Oryctolagus cuniculus: one gene and its partners. The protein of the gene in region 1 interacts with the protein of each later gene in a biochemical or structural test. Links are inferred from orthologs where the notes say so. Each region holds a gene or a part of one and is shown in the gene's direction. Other genes may lie near its edges.

What was found.
Region 2: the proteins of STX1A (region 1) and STXBP5 form a complex in vitro, tested with the Homo sapiens proteins (2 studies listed by BioGRID). The link is inferred for Oryctolagus cuniculus from reciprocal best matches to the Homo sapiens genes STX1A and STXBP5.
Region 3: the proteins of STX1A (region 1) and SNAP23 form a complex in vitro, tested with the Homo sapiens proteins (3 studies listed by BioGRID). The link is inferred for Oryctolagus cuniculus from reciprocal best matches to the Homo sapiens genes STX1A and SNAP23.
Region 4: the proteins of STX1A (region 1) and SLC6A1 form a complex in vitro, tested with the Homo sapiens proteins (2 studies listed by BioGRID). The link is inferred for Oryctolagus cuniculus from reciprocal best matches to the Homo sapiens genes STX1A and SLC6A1.

The regions. Positions count from the first base shown.
Region 1 is NC_091450.1:50,381,430-50,385,839, forward strand, and holds the start of STX1A (syntaxin-1A), read left to right. Parts: upstream 1-1,508; 5' UTR 1,509-1,590; coding exon 1,591-1,620; intron 1,621-4,410. UniProt on the Homo sapiens protein: Plays an essential role in hormone and neurotransmitter calcium-dependent exocytosis and endocytosis.
Region 2 is NC_091436.1:20,863,208-20,867,673, reverse strand, and holds the start of STXBP5 (syntaxin-binding protein 5), read left to right. Parts: upstream 1-1,491; 5' UTR 1,492-1,843; coding exon 1,844-1,996; intron 1,997-3,224; coding exon 3,225-3,322; intron 3,323-4,466. UniProt on the Homo sapiens protein: Plays a regulatory role in calcium-dependent exocytosis and neurotransmitter release. Inhibits membrane fusion between transport vesicles and the plasma membrane.
Region 3 is NC_091443.1:65,545,130-65,549,559, forward strand, and holds the start of SNAP23 (synaptosomal-associated protein 23), read left to right. Parts: upstream 1-1,394; coding exon 1,395-1,451; intron 1,452-1,970; coding exon 1,971-2,012; intron 2,013-2,783; coding exon 2,784-2,832; intron 2,833-3,528; coding exon 3,529-3,646; intron 3,647-4,430. UniProt on the Homo sapiens protein: Essential component of the high affinity receptor for the general membrane fusion machinery and an important regulator of transport vesicle docking and fusion.
Region 4 is NC_091441.1:116,029,619-116,033,918, reverse strand, and holds the start of SLC6A1 (sodium- and chloride-dependent GABA transporter 1), read left to right. Parts: upstream 1-1,254; 5' UTR 1,255-1,444; intron 1,445-4,300. UniProt on the Homo sapiens protein: Mediates transport of gamma-aminobutyric acid (GABA) together with sodium and chloride and is responsible for the reuptake of GABA from the synapse. The translocation of GABA, however, may also occur in the reverse direction leading to the release of GABA.

The DNA.
Region 1 (4,410 bases):
CAGGCCTGCATATATTCCTCTGTTCATTTTTCGTACTACTGCTTTAATATGTGCCTCCATCTCTGGGGGCAGGTGCAGTGTCTCCCCTTTTCCCCAAAGAGCCAGGCGCTGGGCTCTGGGGCTGCAGGCTCGCTGTCCCCGGAGCCAGGCGCCTCCCCCGCCACTGGGCCCCGTCACCCAGAGCAAGTGCCTGTAGCAGGTGAGTCTTCGCTTCTCCTCTGACAAGCGCGGCCTTTGGAGCACTCACGGTTGAAGCCTGGACAGCTTTTCGCAAGCAGTGCGTCTGTCTCCCAGGCCAGACCACATCAGAGGCCAGCTTGTCCGGGAAGAAGCGAAGGCTGGCATGCTGCCCCCACTCCGCCTGCCAGCCAGCTCACCTGTGCCCTCAGTCTGGGACAGGCGCCAGGCTCACCAGGCAGCGGGGGCTGGGCTGGCTCCAGAGCAGAGCCTTGGCGGTCCTGGGGAGAGGGAAAAGGGGCGCGTGCTTGGCTTGGGGTCGAGGGTCTGGGCCATTCCAGCCGGGGGCCGCCACTGGGATGCTGTCACAAGGAGAGACAGAGCCCTGGAGGGAGCATCTGTGACTAACCAGCCCCTCTCCGCCCCTCCCCAGGTGCTGCTCGTCCCAGGCCCAGCGGCCCCGGCTTGTGGACAGGCAATGGGGTCTTCAGGCCCACAGCTGGAGCTCAGGGCAGGAGATGCAGGGAAAGAGGAAGGGAAAGGAGAGGAAGTGCTATTGGGCCTGGGGCCGGTGCTTGGTGTAGCAGGTAAAGCGGCCGCCTGCAGCGCCGGCATCCCATATGGTCGCTGGTTCGAGTCCCGGCTGCTCCACTTCCAATCCAGCTCTCTGCTATGGCCTGGGAAAGCAGCAGAAGATGGCCCAAGTGCTTGGGGCCCCTGCACCCACGTGGGAGACCTGGAAGAAGCTCCTGGCTCCTGGCTTCGGATTGGCACAGCTCCGGCCATTGCGGTCATCTGGGGAGTGAACCAGCGGATGGAAGACCTCTCTCTCTGCCTCTGTCTCTCTGTAACTCTGTCAAATAAATAAACCTTAAAAAAAAAGAAAGCAAAAAAAAAAAAAAAAAACCATCGCCCCCCAAGGATCGAGGGGTTCCTGCATCCTGCTGGAACAGCCAACGCAAGGGTGAGTTGGGGGTGGGGGTCGCCCGCACTCGTGAACCGAGAGATCCTGGGGCAGAGGCTGAGTCTGCACGAGGTGGTGTGACCAGTGGGAGGGGCCGGGGCCCCGCGTCGGGGGCGGGGTTTGGGCAGGGGGCTGCTGCACGGAGTTCCAACCGCAGCTGGAAGGGCTCACTGAGCGGGGGAGACTAGGGGCCCAGGTCCGGGGTGCAGAGTGGGGAGGTGGTCGGGGCCGAGGCCGGGGAGGCCGCAGGGGATCCAGCGTCCAGGTCCCAGCTGGGACAAAAGCCCAGGGCCCCCGGGCTCTGGGAGGGTGGGGCGGGGCGGGGCGGGGCCGGGCCGGGGTCCCGGGGGCCGGGGCGGGGCCGCGCTGGCGCTGCGCAGCCGCGGGGCGGCCGCCGCGCATGCGGGGCTCACAGGGCTGCAGCCGGTGCCGCTGCCACTCCCGGGAGCATGAAGGACCGAACCCAGGAGCTCCGCACGGTGAGTGCGGCCCCGCGCGCGGCCGCTCCTCGCCCGCGCCAGCGCCAGCGCCCCGGCTGCCTCCAGCCCCCGGCCTCCCGCGGCCCCTGCGCCCCCGGCCGGGGAGGGGGGAACCCTGAGCCCCCTGCTCGTCCCGCCCCTTCGAAACCCTTCGGGGGTCCCCGGCTCCCGCGCGCCCGGACGCCTCGGCCGGCGGGCTGGCGGCCGGAGCCCGGGGTCCTGGACAAACTTTGCGGCTCCCGGTGCCTGGGGGGAGTCGGAGGGTTATCGGGGTGGCGGTGGCGGGACGGCGCCCGCGGAGCCGATCCCGCCCGCATCGCCACCCCCTGCACACTCCGCTGACCCCGCCGTGTGAACGCGCGCCGGGACCGCGGGGGGACACCCGCCGGGGACGGTGCCCGGGCGCCGCCCCTCCCCCATCACCTGTGGCTCCCATCACCTGTGGCTCCCTGTCCTGCCCGGGCGCGGTCGGGACCCTGTCTCTGGGCGCCCTGGGGCTGCGAGGGATCGCACCCACCCCACCCACCCACCCACCTAGTCCACCTTCCGGGGCTCCGCGGTGCGACTCCCACCTGGATCTTATTTTTCCACCTGTGTCTCCGAGGCCCCTGGGCTGTGGCTCCTGGGGCGGGGTTCCGGGGCAAGGTTCTGGGTCGGCGCCCACCTCTTTCAGCCCGGATCAGGACTTCTGCCCTGCTGCTCCTCACCCTCAAAGCCGCCTCTGCCTTTGGAGATGGCGGGGAGGGCCCCTGGGGGGCAGTGAAGGAAATGGGGTCATGTAATGGGGGGCTCAAGACTGGCTTGGGTCTCCTCTGATGCCCCGGCTAGCGACCACCCCCTGCACACCAGTCCGTGCCCCCCACCCACCCCACCTGCCTGGCCTCCAGATCTGTGTCATTCCTGGCCGAGCGCCCAGCCCCAGGGGCAAATCCCGTGGGGTTTCCAAGGAAGCAGCCGGTCCCTCCTGCGGTCCTTGGTCCCCGGACACTTCCCCCCAGCCCTTTCGGTTGCTCTCAAGGTTCCTGTGATGCGGCAAGTCGGTGGGGGCACCGGCGTGGCGAGGGTTGGCTGCGTGAAGCGCCTGCTCCTGCTTGCGTGTCCCTTGGGTCCGATGAGGGTGCAGGGGAGCCTCTGGCTTGTCCCTATGCTGGAAGGGAAACCGAGGCACAAGGAGACGGGGTGGGGGGGGCTGCCTGCTGGAGGCAACGGGGTGTGGGGAGGGACTTGGCCTGGTGGCTGGGACTGGGGGGCCCCAGGAGAGCTTGAGTGGTGAGAAGCAGGGACCCAGAAGTTGTCTGTGATGTGAGTCCCTGTCCCCAGTCCACGTGTACACACACACACACACACACACACACACCTGCCTGAGCCCTGGCTGGCGAGCCTGGCTTGCTCTGAGTTATCTGATGTTTTCCCTGCAGGCATAGACCTCCCACCAGCCCCTGGTCGCTGTCCTCCAGTTTCTAACAGCCTCGAGGGGGTGGGGCGAGAGGCAAGGGACAAGGGGCGGCTGGCCAGAGCTCGCACTGGGTGGGCTGCAGTTTTGAAGGGTTTTCCACGAGGAAACCCCAGCTCTGGGGGCGAGGTGCAGCCACAGGTGTTGGACCTATGGCTGCACATTCTGGGGGAGACCTTGAACTCCAGGAATCAGGATTTGCAGCTCAGAAATGAGGAGCGGCACTGGCTGGGCTGGCCGGAGCTGGGGTTCAGGACGTGGCTGTGCGCCACCCCCAGCCCGCCCTCCTCCTCCTCCTCCTCCTCGCTCACCCAACATCGCCACCACATTTGGAAGGAAGGCGAAGGGAGCTTATTTATAAAAGTCACACTTGGGGAAGGAGCTGGCGTGCTTCCTCCGTGCTCCGCGGGCCGGGCTCAGCCCTCCAGCCTCCTCCTGCCCCCGCCTGCCTCTCTCTCTGAGGTTCCTTTCCATTCTGCAGGGGGAGAGTGAAGAGGGCTGTGGGAGCGGGGCCAGTGTGGGGCTTCAGCCCCTGAGACCAAGGCCTCAGGTCAGAGAGGCCTTCCTGGGGGTGCAGGGAAGCCACACAGCCCCGGGTGGGGTGGGCACTTTCAGGGTAGGATGTCCCCTTACACTTAGAAGCCTCCCTGATTTTCTTTCTGGGGCTTTACTGGAGCTGCTCCACACCCCTCCTCCGGTCCAGAAAGGAGTTCACCTGCATGCCTGGCAGGCTTCCTGGAGGAGGAAAACTTGGGATGGTCCCAAGGAGGAGGAGGAGCCCAAGCCGAGGGGATGGAGGATGCCCCTGAGGTCCAGAAAGGGGCCCGGCTCCCCCCCTCCCCACGCCTCTCAGGGCAGGTCAAGAGGCCGCAGTGGGGGGCAGCACCAGGCAGGTCTGGTCGGTTCTGCACCTGTCCAGTGGAGCCTCGCAGAGCAGGCACGGGGCAGGGTCTCCCGACACCCCCCTCTCCTTCCCCGCGGCTTCCCAGAATGAAGTAGGATCTGGCTGCGGAGAGACGGTGCCATTGGGGACCGGCTGGTCTCACCGCCTAGCCTACGGATCAGAAAAGCCAGGTTCAGAAAGGGCCACGGGTTCATCTGAGGTCACACAGCACAGCCCGGTGCCTTTTCCCCGGACCCGAAGCTGCCGCCCCCATGCTCTTGGGACCTTGCGAAGGGGCAGCCTGTGCTAAGCAGGGAGCTGATGTAGCAGGCCTGGTGGGGGGTGGGGGTGGGGGTGAGGGCTTTGAGCGCCCTCCTTCCTGGAGGCCCAGCCCCTGTATCAGCCCTGGGCCTCTGCACTTGATATTGACTTGGGTTAGCCATTAAAAAGAGGA
Region 2 (4,466 bases), on another chromosome or scaffold:
CGGGCACTTGATTTCGGTTCGGAACAGAAAACAACCCCGAGAAGCTGTTGTGTGTCTTTTCGCAGGACCGCAGGGAGAGGAGTTATTAGCCCATAGATCGTCCGTCCTCCCCGCATCTCCCAAGTTGGAGCTCCTCTTTGTTTCCCTCCCTCATGTCTCTTATTTTCCACGCCCTGCAGCCCCTCTGCTTCCCACCGCCCTTCCTCAGTGAACGCATTGTGCGGGGGGTATCTGTCAGCCTCTCCCGACTTGACCCAGACGGTGTCTCCCGGCCTCCGAGGAGCGGAAACTTCATCCAGTCTCCCTCTCCACAGTGGAGAGCACACCGGGCGTTACTGACAGGACCTCAGCGTTAACAGCGCGCACCCGGGTCCCGAAAATGAGCGGCAGCACGGGGTCCCCGCCGCCGGGCGGGCCGGGGGCTCGGGTGGCGAGGCGGGTCGCGGGTCGGCCCAGCAGCTGTCTGCCGCCGCCAGACGCGCTCCACCCCCGGGAGCCGCCTCGGGGGCAGAGTCCGCGTTTTCCCTCTAGGCTCCGCTTCTCCCCCAGTACCTCGCCGCGTCTGCCATCCTCTCGCCCCTGACATAATCGTCGCCAAGACGCTGGCAAAACCTAAACCCCAATCAATCCCACACAAAGCCCACCAAAAATAAAGCAGCAAGAATGGTCTTGCAGCCCCGGGCCGCGGGGTGGGGGTGGGCGGGGAGGACCAGTGTTTCATTAGCGGGTGAACGCTCAAACCCCCGCTTTCCTCATCGAATCCGAAATGAAGCTCTTCTTGCGGCTTGTTAGTCGTCAACACTTTTACTATGCCAGTTGCAGAAGCAGCAGCTGCACACTCTGGCAGCGCCATCGCGGAGGCAGAAATTTAGCCAGCGTCTGGGATTTGCGAGGAGGATAATTTAAGCCCCGGCTTCGCTCCGGCTGGGGGCTTTGGGGCTGGGGGGCAAAAAGGGGGTGGAGGTGGCGGGGGGGGGGGGGGAGGCTGCGGCGCGTGTGCGCATGCCCAGCAGCCCCGCTCCGCGGAGGCCCAGCTGCCGCCGCCGCCGTCACCGCCACCGCCACCGCCGGCGCTGTAACCGCGGCTGCCGCCGCTGCTCCGGCCGGGGGTCGGTGCCGTGTGCCGAGGCGCCCTGTCAGGCGAGAGGGAGCGGCCGGGAGGGGAGAGCCGGAGGCGGCGGCGGCGCCTCGGGGAGGCAGCCGGGGCTCTGAAGAAGCGAGGGCAGGCCGGTCCAGCGGCAGAGGAGCGAGGCGGAGCGAGGCTGGCGGCGCGGGGACCCACCCCGGGCGCCTGGCGTGCGATGCCGGGCGGGCAGCGGCGCTGAGCGGCGGGGAGGCCGAGCGGCGGCCGCGGACCGAGAACCGTCGACCCCCGGGAAGAGGAGGAGGAGGAACAGGAGCGGGAAGGACGCGCCGAGGGGACTGCGGGGTCGGGGCGGGCGAGGAGTGGCGGGGCCGCGGGCCATGGACTCGGCGGGGGCGAGCCGGGGTGGCGGCGCGGCGCAGAGCCCGCCCGCGGCCAGGTGAGGCTGGGCAGAGCGGGCTCCGGGCGCCTCCGCCACTGCCGCCGCCGCCGGGCCGCGGAGCGAGGAGGCGGCCGCGGCGCCACAGCAGCCGCCCGGGAGGAAGAGGGGTCGCCGCGCGGTGTTCCCGCGGCCGCCGCGCTCTCGTCGTCGCAGTATTTCCTGTTCGGATTATCTTTTGCTTCCCCCCCCAACCCCCCAGCTGCCGCCTCTCCTTCCCCTCACACTCGCACTCTTCTGGGTCCGCGGTCGAAGCTGCCCTCGGCTCCGGCCCGTCCACCCCGCCGGGGACCCCCGGCGCCTGTCCTCCCGCCGAGACCATGAGGAAATTCAACATCAGGAAGGTGCTGGACGGGCTGACCGCCGGCTCGTCGTCGTCCTCGCAGCAGCAGCAGCAGCAGCAGCACCCGCCTGGGAACCGGGAGCCCGAGATCCAGGAAACGCTCCAGTCCGAGCACTTCCAGCTCTGCAAGGTGAGCCGGGCGCGCAGCCCCCGACGCCGTCTTGGGGAGTCGGGGTCGTTTTGGGGGGCGCTGACTTGGAAAGAGAGCGTCCGACAGCTTTAATAAAGGGCCGGCTCTACCGCTAGCAAATGCTTCCTGGGTGCGTTATTTTGGACATTGGATCTTACTCCTTTTCGCTGATTTTTTTTTTCCCTCCCTCTCTCGTTTTCACACGTAGCAGTCGGTTCAAGGTTGCTTCAGACGCATTATCTAACATTTAATTCGTATCCTGACAGTGCTGGCAATAATCTGAAAGCTTCTATAGCCAAGCATTTTAATGTAATTCACCAACTTCCAAGTTTCCCTTTGGAAACAGTGTCTAATGAATATTGTTTATCCAAAAGCCAAACCTGTTCAACCAGATCTTTGTTCATCACTTTTCCCTTAAAATGGATTGGAGGAGCTTACACTATGAAATCGCAGATTTTTTTTATCACTCTGTTTCTTTAAAGAGTTAGTACTGTTATTTTTGCCAATTAATGGCACACTGAGTGCCTTAGCATGCCGTAATTGAGAGAGAATGATGCAGCGAATTAATTCACCCACTGCTCAATGAGCACTACAAAGTTGTTTTGCAATTAATAGCTGCCTTCCTCTTAAACAGTCATGCCTTCCTTTGGAAGAGTTTCTTAAAGAGTAAATGTTTTGCCCCAAATCCCTGAAATTATTATTTGCTTAATAGTAAGTTGCAAAAAATATGAGTATATGTTGTACCCATTTTCGTTCTTTTACAGTTGAAAAATGTTGGGGTGGAGGCTTAGTAATTGCTTTAGCAATATTTTGGCAGAAGTAATTATATGGCAGCTTTTCCTAGGAAGTACTTGGATTTAGCATCCAAATAAAGTAATGATAAAGTGATTGCTCTTGAAAACAAATTTACAGAATTTTATACCTCTGCAGACTTTTATAATTTGGTGTCAGACTTAATATGAATATTAATGAGAATTTTCTTCTACCAGTGTTAAGGAAAAGCAGAATGTAATGTGTCACACTGAGGTGTTTGTTTATTTCAGGTTCCATGTGAATTACTTTGTTAAGGTAGATTCCATTTTAAAAAAATTGTAAAGCAGTAAGTGCATGTGTATGTGTTCGATTAGATTATACAGTTGTTTCTGAATTCTAATGCCTCTGTTGACATTTCTATTTTTAAATTTTGCTTGCTGCCTTGGTTGCTGTGATGTCACCTGCCCATCCCTAGACTGTGCGCCATGGATTCCCCTATCAACCCTCAGCCCTGGCCTTTGATCCTGTACAGAAGATCCTGGCAGTGGGAACTCAGACTGGTGCTTTAAGGCTGTATCCTTTCTTTAATTTTATTTTTTAATTTTTACTCTGTGCCCCTTAGTCCTTCTGTGTTGCTGATAAGTTCCAAAGAAAATTTTCTTTTTTTGTTTAATTCCAAAGACAAGGTGTGGTGTTTGTTTTTCCCTTGATTATACTTACTTGTGCGTTGTATGTGGCCTTGATGTCTCTATGTTCAGTTTATAGTAGATAAATGTGTATCAAAATAGAAATGTAAAGTTTTGCTCTAGTTACTTTTTTTGCAACAGGCTAGACATTTCTGAGGGGAAATAGATGTGCTCATATACTAGTGGTCTATTGCAAAGGGTATGTTAAGGGAGAGTCATAAAGATAGTAGTACGATGTTCATTTTATTTGCTTCTTAAAATATTGTACATGGTGGACATTGAACTTAAGATGTGTGTTTTTCTAATGAATTATAGGTTCAATTTGAATTTGATTGTGGTTGTTTCCAACATGTCCATGTAGAAAAATCATTAGCAGAGAACAAATGCAATGATGCTCTATGAGTAGTTATGAAGGGTTAATATTTCTGCAAGTTTTAGAGGTTTTTTAGTGTAATGCGTAGGTATGAATGTGCTCTCTGCACAGTTTCCCTTTTATAGTCTACATTTGTTGTGTACATGTACAAACTATTAGGTTAGTTTTGCATTTAAGTGTTAGTATAGAAAAGAATCTTCCTGGATACGTGTTAACTATGATAATTTTATTATGAGCATTTTGTTAAATATTTTAAAAAATGTTTTTCAAGATCATTATTTTAGCCTGAACAATAGAGACTGCTTTTTACTTTCCTACTGTTCAGTTTGGAAATAAAATTTGTGTTTGCTTTCTCTATGACATTTAACCATATTTAATCTAAATACTCTTATTTTTAAAATTAAACAGAAAAAATGCTTTGTTCGGCCATCTGTAGGATATATACCTCCGTATATTATTGAGGAATTGTGCTGATAATGAACAGATAAAAAATTAGTAGGTGATCCCAGTAGACATTGTCAAAAAAATGGAAGTGGGTGAGAAGTTTTATCCCTTTACATTTTAGATTTATCTGCATTTGAGTTAAATTGTGTCAAGTATTTTACTCCTGATCTTTCAAGCTTATTTCAAAGAAGTATTCTACGGTATCAGGACATGC
Region 3 (4,430 bases), on another chromosome or scaffold:
TCCCTGCTAATGCATGTGGGAAATCAGCATAAGATGGCCCAAGTCCTTGGGCCCCTACACCCACATGGGAGACCTGAAAGAAGCTCCAGGCTCCTGGCTTTGTATCCGCCCAGCTTCAGCTGTTATGGCTGTTTGGGGAGTGAACCAGCAGATGCAAGAACTCTCTCTCTCTCTCTGCCTCTGTCTCTCTGTGACTCTATCTTTCAAATAAATGAATAGATTTTTTTTAAAAAAAATGTAATGCAAATCTAATCTGTGTATTGGGAAGAAAAGCTAGATCTGTTGCATAGTGTTTATTTATGTGACTTCTCAAAGGAGAATACACAAGAATGATACTGGATCGCACCTACTAGATATTGTGTATTTTAGCTTCAGTGTCTGTAAGGCCTCTCTTTCAAAGGTGGGATATAGAAAGGCTAGTTCTTCAGTTTCTTAGGATGTTACTAACACTATGAACAATACAAGCAGGTGGAGGAGAAGAGTGCTTTAATGAAAACTTGAGCTCTTTTCTGAACTCTGTACCAGCATTACCCTTTTCTTGTTTAGAATAAAAGTATTTCACTTTCTCTAATGTGTAACCTGGACAACTGGCATATTTCTAAAATGTTTCCTGTGTTTATTAGGCACATGACTTTTAATTTGTTATTTTCCTTAACTAGACTCTATTACCTTACTGCTTTTCCAGAAGAACGTTGTACAACCAAGAATTAATTTCAGTAGTCTCTTAAAGTGCTTGTCTTGCAGCAGTGCCTTTCTTCTTAAAGTAGGGTGACCACCTTCCCGTTTTAAAGAGCACTTCAGGGCCGGTGTTGTGGCGTAGCAGGTAAAGCTGCCCCTGACACGCTGGAATCCATATAGGCATCCATTCAAGTCTCAGTTGCCCCACTTCCCATCCAGCTCCTTGCTAAAGTGCCTGGGAAATCATGGAAGGATGCCCCATGTTCTTGGGCTCCTGCACCAATGTGGGAGACCTGGAAGAAGCTCCTGGCTCCTGGCTTTGGATTGGCCCAATCCCAGCCATTGTGGCCATTTGGGGAGTAAACCAGCAGATGGAAGATCTCTGTCTCTCCCCCTCTCACTCTGTAACTCTTTCAAATAAAATAAATAAATCTAAAAAAAAAAAACAAAAAAAAAAAACAAAAAAACACACACTTCAGTAGAAGTCCTAAAACCTGTTTTATGTGCATCTTTGGTACTAACTAGCATTAAATATCCAATTAGTCTTTTTCAGCTATCTGTGGGATAGATAAATAAAAGTGGGTTTTATCTTGTCTTCATAAGAAATACCTAAATTCCATAAGTCTACCCTCTTTGTTTTGCTCAAAGCTTTGTTTCCTTGTTCTTGTAGGATACCCACATTTCCATTTCTTTGCCTGATAAAGTTTTGATTCATCATGGATAATCTGACATCAGAAGAAATTCAGCTGAGGGCTCACCAGGTTACTGATGAGGTAAATGCTTTATTGAGAATAAGTAATCCTGTTGCAGTTTTCACGGCGCAGGGTCTTCCTAGTCCCTTTGTGTCAAAGAATGAATTTGCCCCTCAGTGGCATTCATTGCTCATTGCTTTTCATCAACTCACCAGAAACACTAAGTAAGGGAAGATAATTCGCATGGTTTTTCCAGATAGTCATTGCTTAACAGTTACTCACAACAAAGATACTCTAAATTTGAAGAATTCTGGATTTTTTATTTATTTCCTACTATCTGTGTAATATTCTTAGAGTTCTGTCTTCATCAAATTTTTATGAACCCCTTTAAGTGTACCATCCTAATTTTCTTTTAAGAAGGACTTGATAAGAATAACTGAAAATACAGTGACCAGTTTTCTTGATTTTGTTTTAAAGGGAGGGATGGGCTAGTGATTTTTAAACAGAATAACGTTCTGAATATAGTCTGTGTTTTTTTTTTTTTTTTTTTTTGGCTACATATTTTGAAATGTTTAAACTAAAACTGTATTTTTTTCCTAGTCTCTGGAAAGTACAAGGAGAATCCTGGGTTTAGCCATTGAGGTAAGAAAGTGTTTAATCATCAAGTTAAATACAGAAGTTTATAGGAGGGATCCTGATAGCACTAGCTGGAGTTGCTGCTAAAGCACATTCTATCAATATACTTTATTATTTGAAACCTGCAATTACTGAAATTGTCAAACCATGTGCTAACTGGCCTTTTCTGCTTTTCCCTTTGTGATGGTATTGGAATATGCTTGGAAAGATGAATTAATTTTAAGTTTTTGACTTAATTATTTTTGGATATTATGTTGAAGTGTGTTGATTTAAGAATGCTAGTTCTGGCCGGCACCGCGGCTCAGTAGGCTAATCCTCCGCCTTGCGGCGCTGGCACAGCGGGTTCTAGTCCCGGTCAAGGCGCCGGATTCTGTCCTGGTTGCCCCTCTTCCAGGCCAGCTCTCTGCTGTGGCCTGGGAGTGCAGTGGAGGGTGGCCCAAGTGCTTGGGCCCTGCACCCCATGGGAGACCAGGAGAAGCACCTGGCTCCTGCCTTTGGATCAGCGCGGTGCGCCGGCCGTGGCGGCCATTGGAGGGTGAACCAATGGCAAAAGGAAGACCTTTCTCTCTGTCTCTCTCTCTCTCTCACTGTCCACTCTGCCTGTCAAAAAAAAAAGAATGCTAGTTCTATCTGTAGCTTCGATCCTCTGAGGATGAATTTCCAAATGATTCTAGTCTTGCTATTTGTCAGCCCTTTTAAGGTCTTATTTCTGTTGGTTTAGGGTATTTAATTAATTAATTTATTTTTTACTATTGGTATTTTCCCTCTTTGTTTTAGTCTCAGGATGCAGGAATCAAGACCATCACTATGCTGGATGAACAAGGGGGTGAGTTAAAGTTACTGACAGAAATTCTTAAATTGATTTACAATGCCAAAATGTTCTATCAAATCAGCCCTGTATAGATTTTCCTTTGGGAATGCCTTAACTTTGTAAGATGAGTGATGTGTTTACTTCTGATTTGAATGACATCATGTTTATTGCCTGGTTAGCACAGGGGGCAGTGACCAACTATATACCAAGTATGTGTTAGGCCAGCATGGCTTATTGTGTGCATCAGGCCTCTATGCATTCTTACTTCACCCTAGAAATCAAAGTTAAGTCCTAAAACCGATTTAGATTCAGATTAACTTGGGAACATTTGATTTGAGTTGGCCTTGAGAAATCTCATCTGTTTTTGATTAGTCTTGTGGTCACCTCAAGTTTCAAGCATAATAAGTGATAGGAATGCTGGGGATCTGATGTGGTCAGAGTACACTTGCTTGCATTGGGAGGGTGCTAAATCTTCACATGCTCCTGGTGTACAGATTTCTTTAGAATAGATCCTTCCACAATTATAAGCCATTGTCAGTATGGGTGTAAGAGTGTCTTCATGTTGAACATTTTGTAATATCTTCTGACACTGATAGATTTATTCTTTGTGGTATAGTATTGGTAGATTTGAAGTTGAAGTTTGCTATTCCACTATGGCGTTTTCTTGTTGATACTGTAACAGAAAATGTACCTTCAACACTTTATTCTTAGAACAACTAAACCGCATAGAAGAAGGCATGGACCAGATAAATAAAGACATGAGAGAGGCAGAGAAGACCTTAACAGAACTCAACAAGTGCTGTGGCCTTTGTGTCTGCCCATGTAATAGGTGAGTGGATAAATCAAGTTTTTTTCAAAATCAGTAAATGAGAGCATCTCCTCCCAAGTAAGGTTAGAAGTATGACTGGACCTAGATGAGGATGTTTGTTAGGTAAACTTAAAATATTTCTTCTTTTGGCAGATTGAGTGCTTCATGCGAATAGCTATGTTCATTGAAAACCATGGCTTACTTTTGGCCAATACTGGGAGCGATTTCCAATTTTAATTTGTAGTAAAATACAAAAATTTTGGAAAATACGTATTTGAACGATACAGAGCTGGATGGGGTTAGTGTCTTTCGTTTCAAACAAGGGAAGTTAATAAAACTCGAGTATGTGTTCTGTGATAGGCTCCTGAGAGATGGCTAAAGGAATAAAGGACTTGGGCCTTGTTTTCAAAAGACTGCTATGTTGTTGGGCGTATGAAGAAAAAACAGAAAATATGTAAATCTAGTGTTAGCTCATATGATATCAATTAAGTATAGGGGGAAAGGTGATAAAGGTTGGGCTGGAGAACATCTTACAGAAGAGGTGGCAGATGAGTTAGGCTTTCAGTGATTAGCAGGAATTTGGATGAACCTGAGAAATAGGGAGGGCATTTTGCTATGTAAGATTCAAAGGAAACAAGGATTAAGGAAGCTGCCAAGCTGAGGAATTGATAGGTTAGAGTGGAGTATATGATTATATAACCAGGAGACTAGTTAAAAACTTACTGTATTCTAGGCCAGTGAGGTTGGACTTTATTAGTGAGGATAGAGAAGGTGCTTGTACAAATCAAGAGAATTTATTTTAAAT
Region 4 (4,300 bases), on another chromosome or scaffold:
GTGGGAGGCAGCATGGCGAGAGAGAAGCTAGTGTGGCCCTCTCAACCAGTGTTTTGCAGGACCCCAGAATAGATGCAAGGGGATGGGGGTGTGCCACAGTCAGCGAGTGGCAGCCCTGCGGTCAGAGAGATGAGGGGAGAGGCCAGGGCTGGAGAGAAGGTGGCCAGGGCCCCAAGTGCAGGGCCTTTGCAAAACAGGGCAGGTGGCCAGCACGTGGCAGTGGGGGAGGGGGAGGCGAAAGTCCTTGAGGGCTGGGCTGGGGTTGGCTGTAGGGGAGGCCGCTGGGGCAGCCCTCAGATTTCCAGATCGGGCAGGGTCTGCAGGTGCGCTGTGGTGCAGTGGGTTAAGCTGCTGCCTGTGAAGGCTACATCCCATATGAGTGCTGGTTGCAATCCTGGCTGCTCCACTTCTAATCCAGCTCCCTGCTAACGTGCCTGGGAAAGCAGTGGAGGATGGCCCAAGTGCTTGGGCCCCTGGGAGACTCACATGAAGCTCCTGGCTCAACAGACCTGGTGTTGCGGCCATCTGGGGAGTGAACCTGAGGATAGCAGATCTCTCTTAACTCTGCCTATCAAATACATAAAATAAAAAAATCCTTGCAGACCTAGAAGGAGGAAGAAGACTGGGGCTGTGCTGCTGCCCGGAGCAGCCTGCAGATCCTGCTTCCCTGTCACCTGTTCCCCATCTGTCCATGCACCCCCTGGCCACGGTCTCCGTGGCCCACCACACCTGTCCCAGGAGCAGGCCTCAGGTAGAGCAGCCCTCCCCCAGCCCCCAGCTCAGCAGGCAGGGAGGGGGCAGGCAGGCGGCTGCCTGGTCACAGGGACCACAGGGAGAGGGGAGGGGGCCGCAAAAGAAAAGCTTAGAAGGTGATCCAAGGAGGGCCCAGGGAGGAGAGGGAGCGGAGCGAGAGGGAGAAGGGGGGAGCGGCAGACGGAGGAGGGGGGAGGGGAGGAGGGGGGAGAAAGAGAAGGAGGAGGTGAGAGGAGGTGGGAGGGGAGGGGTTGGGAGAAGGGGGTAGAGATAAGGGGAAGGAGGGGGGAGGTGGGGGTAGAGGGAAGGGAGTGGAAGTGAGAGGAGGGGGAGGTGGGAGGAGAAGGATCTAGGAGGGGGAGGTGGGAGGCTAGGGACCGGTGGCAGGCTGGGAAGCTCTGAGGCGGCGGCGGCGGCGGCGGCGCGGGCAAGCCCCTCCCCCGGCGGGGCGGGCTCCCCGAGCCGGCCCCGCCCCCACCGCGCCGGCCTCGCCTTCGTCCTAGCTGCCCCGCGTCCCTCCTCCCGCCCTCGGAAGAGCGAGCGAGCGGCGAGGTTCCGGGCGAGCTGTGTCGAGCCCAGGAGCCGAGGAGCGGGGAACGCAGGCGTCCCGAGCCCGGAGCGGCCCCGCGCACCGGAGCGGCCGAGGCTCCCCGCGCAGCGCCCGCCGCGGGCCGCGCAGCCCCGGCCGCAGGTAGGAACGCGCGGCCGGCGTCGGGGCGCGGAGGACGCAGGGACTGCCCGGGCGGGACGCGCCCGAGCCCCGAGCCCCGAGCCCCTGCCGCGGGCTGGGCTGGGCGGGTGGGGGGCGGGCACCCCAAGACTCCGGCCCATCGCGTCGCCCCTGGCTTGTGACCCAGCGTGTGCCCGCACGAGGGGCGCGGTGACCGCATACCCCCGCCCGGTGGCGGTACCCCTCGGACCGCCGAGCAGGCGTGGATTCCGCTGCAGCCGTCGAAGCGCCCTGCGCGGTCCCAGGGGGTGGTGGGCGCGGGGAGTGAAGGTGGCAGCTGCGTTCGGGTGGCCGGGAGCCGCTGCCCGGGGCTCGGGCCGGCCGAGCCCACCTGGGGGCGCGCCATTTATCCCGGGAGGGCTTCAGCCGGGCAGAGCAGCGCCTTTGCGTTCTGGGACAGCTCCAGCTCGCCGGAATCCGGAGCCGAGCGCACCAGCGCGCGCGCCGCGTCCGCCCTACTTTCCCCTGGGGCTGTGAGCTCCCTGCGTGCGGGCTGGAGTTCTTGTGTCCGCTTGCCAGCCCGGGAGGCCACCCTCCCTATCTTGCCTTTCGTCCCCGGCGTGAGAAAAAGGGACGACGATGCCTGCCTTAGTTGCCCTGACCAGCAGCGGTCCATGCGCAGACCCCTTGTGCGCGCCCGTTTCCGCTGGTGGCACCCGCAGATGTCCTTTGCTACGCTTGGCTCGGTCTTCAGGTGAGGATCTCAGACCTGGCAGCTCCTGCACAGAGGCTCTGAGCTAAGACCCTCCCCCTGTAGACGTGAACCCCGAAGGAGAAAATTGGATTAAAAAAAAAAAAAGCCAAATAACAGCCCTCTTGCCAGTGAGGGGCTGAAGCACCTGCTCCGGCTCCCAGAAAGCTCATCCTTAAGAGGCAGGAGAGGGGGGCATAAGGGGTGGATAAAATGACGCCTGAGCTTTGGTGACAACCCAGATCAGACCGTGTCGCCTGCGTGGAATTTGGGGCCAACCTTTGTTTTTCTGCGGCATGCAGGTGGGTGTTTGGAGAAGGAGAGGGGATGTCTGGTGCTGGACAAGGCTTAGACTCTCTCTCAGGGTCCCCTGGGGGCAATGTATTCATGGGGGAATGCCTTCAAACAGTTACAAAACAAATATGGGGACTGGGGACCCACAGGCATCCTGGGAGCTGGCTCCAGCTCTCTCTCTGTGTAGAACTCTGGGAAGCCTTGAGCCAGTGGCCATCCGGTTGGAGCGCCTCCCAGGCGGAGGGAGGGCGGGAGGAGAACTTGCCCTCAGAGGTGTGAGTCCCTGGGGGAGGGAGAGGGGGAGAGGGGGAGAGGGAGGGCCCCGCCCCAGAGCAGCGGGGCAAAATGGCTGAGCCTCCCTGGCCTCAAATAAATCATCAGGCACACAGCAAACAAAGGGAGCGCTCTGTCTCCAGCCAAGCGCTGGCCCCGTGGCCAGTCCTCGGAGGGCAGACAGTGAGTCCCAGGGAGAGGCGGCGTCTGAGTGCAGGGCTTCCCTGGGAGCCACACAGGGAGGCAAATCAGGGCCTCCTCTCGCCAGGACCGCAGGTTTGCCGAGAAGTGGGTCCCCGGGAACTCGGGTGAGGGTGGGAGGGTAGAGGGTGAAGACGAGGCAAGTCGCGTTCATCTGACCTAAGCGAGCCGCCCGACAGCCTGGCTGCCCCGGGCACCCCGGGGCTCACACGCCTGGCAGCCCCGGAACGTCGAATGCTGTGTGTGTGTTTGCGCATGGCCCAGCACGCAGCAGGAACTCAACAGATGCTTTAGAGTGAAAACGGTGCTTGCAAGGACCCACCTGCCTTTCTTCCTGTCTGCTCGAGCCAGGAGGGCCGCAGGCCGGGGCCTCTGTGTCCCTGGCTGGGGCCGAGTGAGCTCTGGCCAAGGGTTTGCTTTGAGACGGGCACTGCCATTTCTTGGTTAGGTGACCTTGGGGATATGTTCTCATTCCGCTCGGAGGGAAGGGAGCAGTGAAATCCCCCACGGTGCCCGGCTCCTCATCCCTGCGGTGACCCGGCGCAGCCCATGCTGCTCTGGCCTCCACTTCAGAAGGCGGAGGACTGAGAGAGATCGGGAAGTGACTTGCCCAAGGGCGCATAGCTGGCAGGAGGCTGGGCCAGGATCTGCCCCGCGCTGTGATGCACTTGCTTGCAGGCCTCAGGCCTTGCTTCTCCTCTGTGAAGTGAGGAGGTAGGTTTGGGGCACCGAGGATGGGATTTAGAGTTGACAGTGAGGCCCCGTGGGTTTGCCTTGTTCCTCTGCCTTTGCTGGCACGAGATGTGCAGGAGCCACATCAAGTCAAGCACCAGTGTCGGGCGGCTTCTTGCCCGTGCCACAAAGACGCCGTTCCTCTTGCTTTCGGGAGACACAGGCACAGAGCCAGCCCCAGAAGCTGCAGCCTTGCCCGCCGCCTCTGCCCTCCCTGTGCCTGTGCCGGCAGGCAGGTGAGAGCCCAGGCCGGCCCCTGCGGGCTGGCCCCAGGTGAGCCTCCCTTCCACTGATGCCAAACCCAGCCCCGCTGTGGCCTGGCTCCCCAAACGGGCACTGACACGTGAGTGTCGGCAGGCCTGTCGCACCGTGTCAGAGCTGCGCCTTCATTTCAGCCGTGCAGAGCCGCCGGCTGGAGAGCAGGGGGGCAGGGCGCAGACCCTGCTGCACTGGAAACAACCTTGAACTGACTCCAGGTGCGGGCTGCAACCCCTGCCCCACCCCAGCTGAGATGCATGGCTCTGTGGTGTGTGCCTTGTGCCCACTCCCCACGTGGGTCGGGCACACATGGAGGTCGGGCACACGTGGAGGTTGGGCACACCTTTCTGCAGACTGTGCCGTTCTAG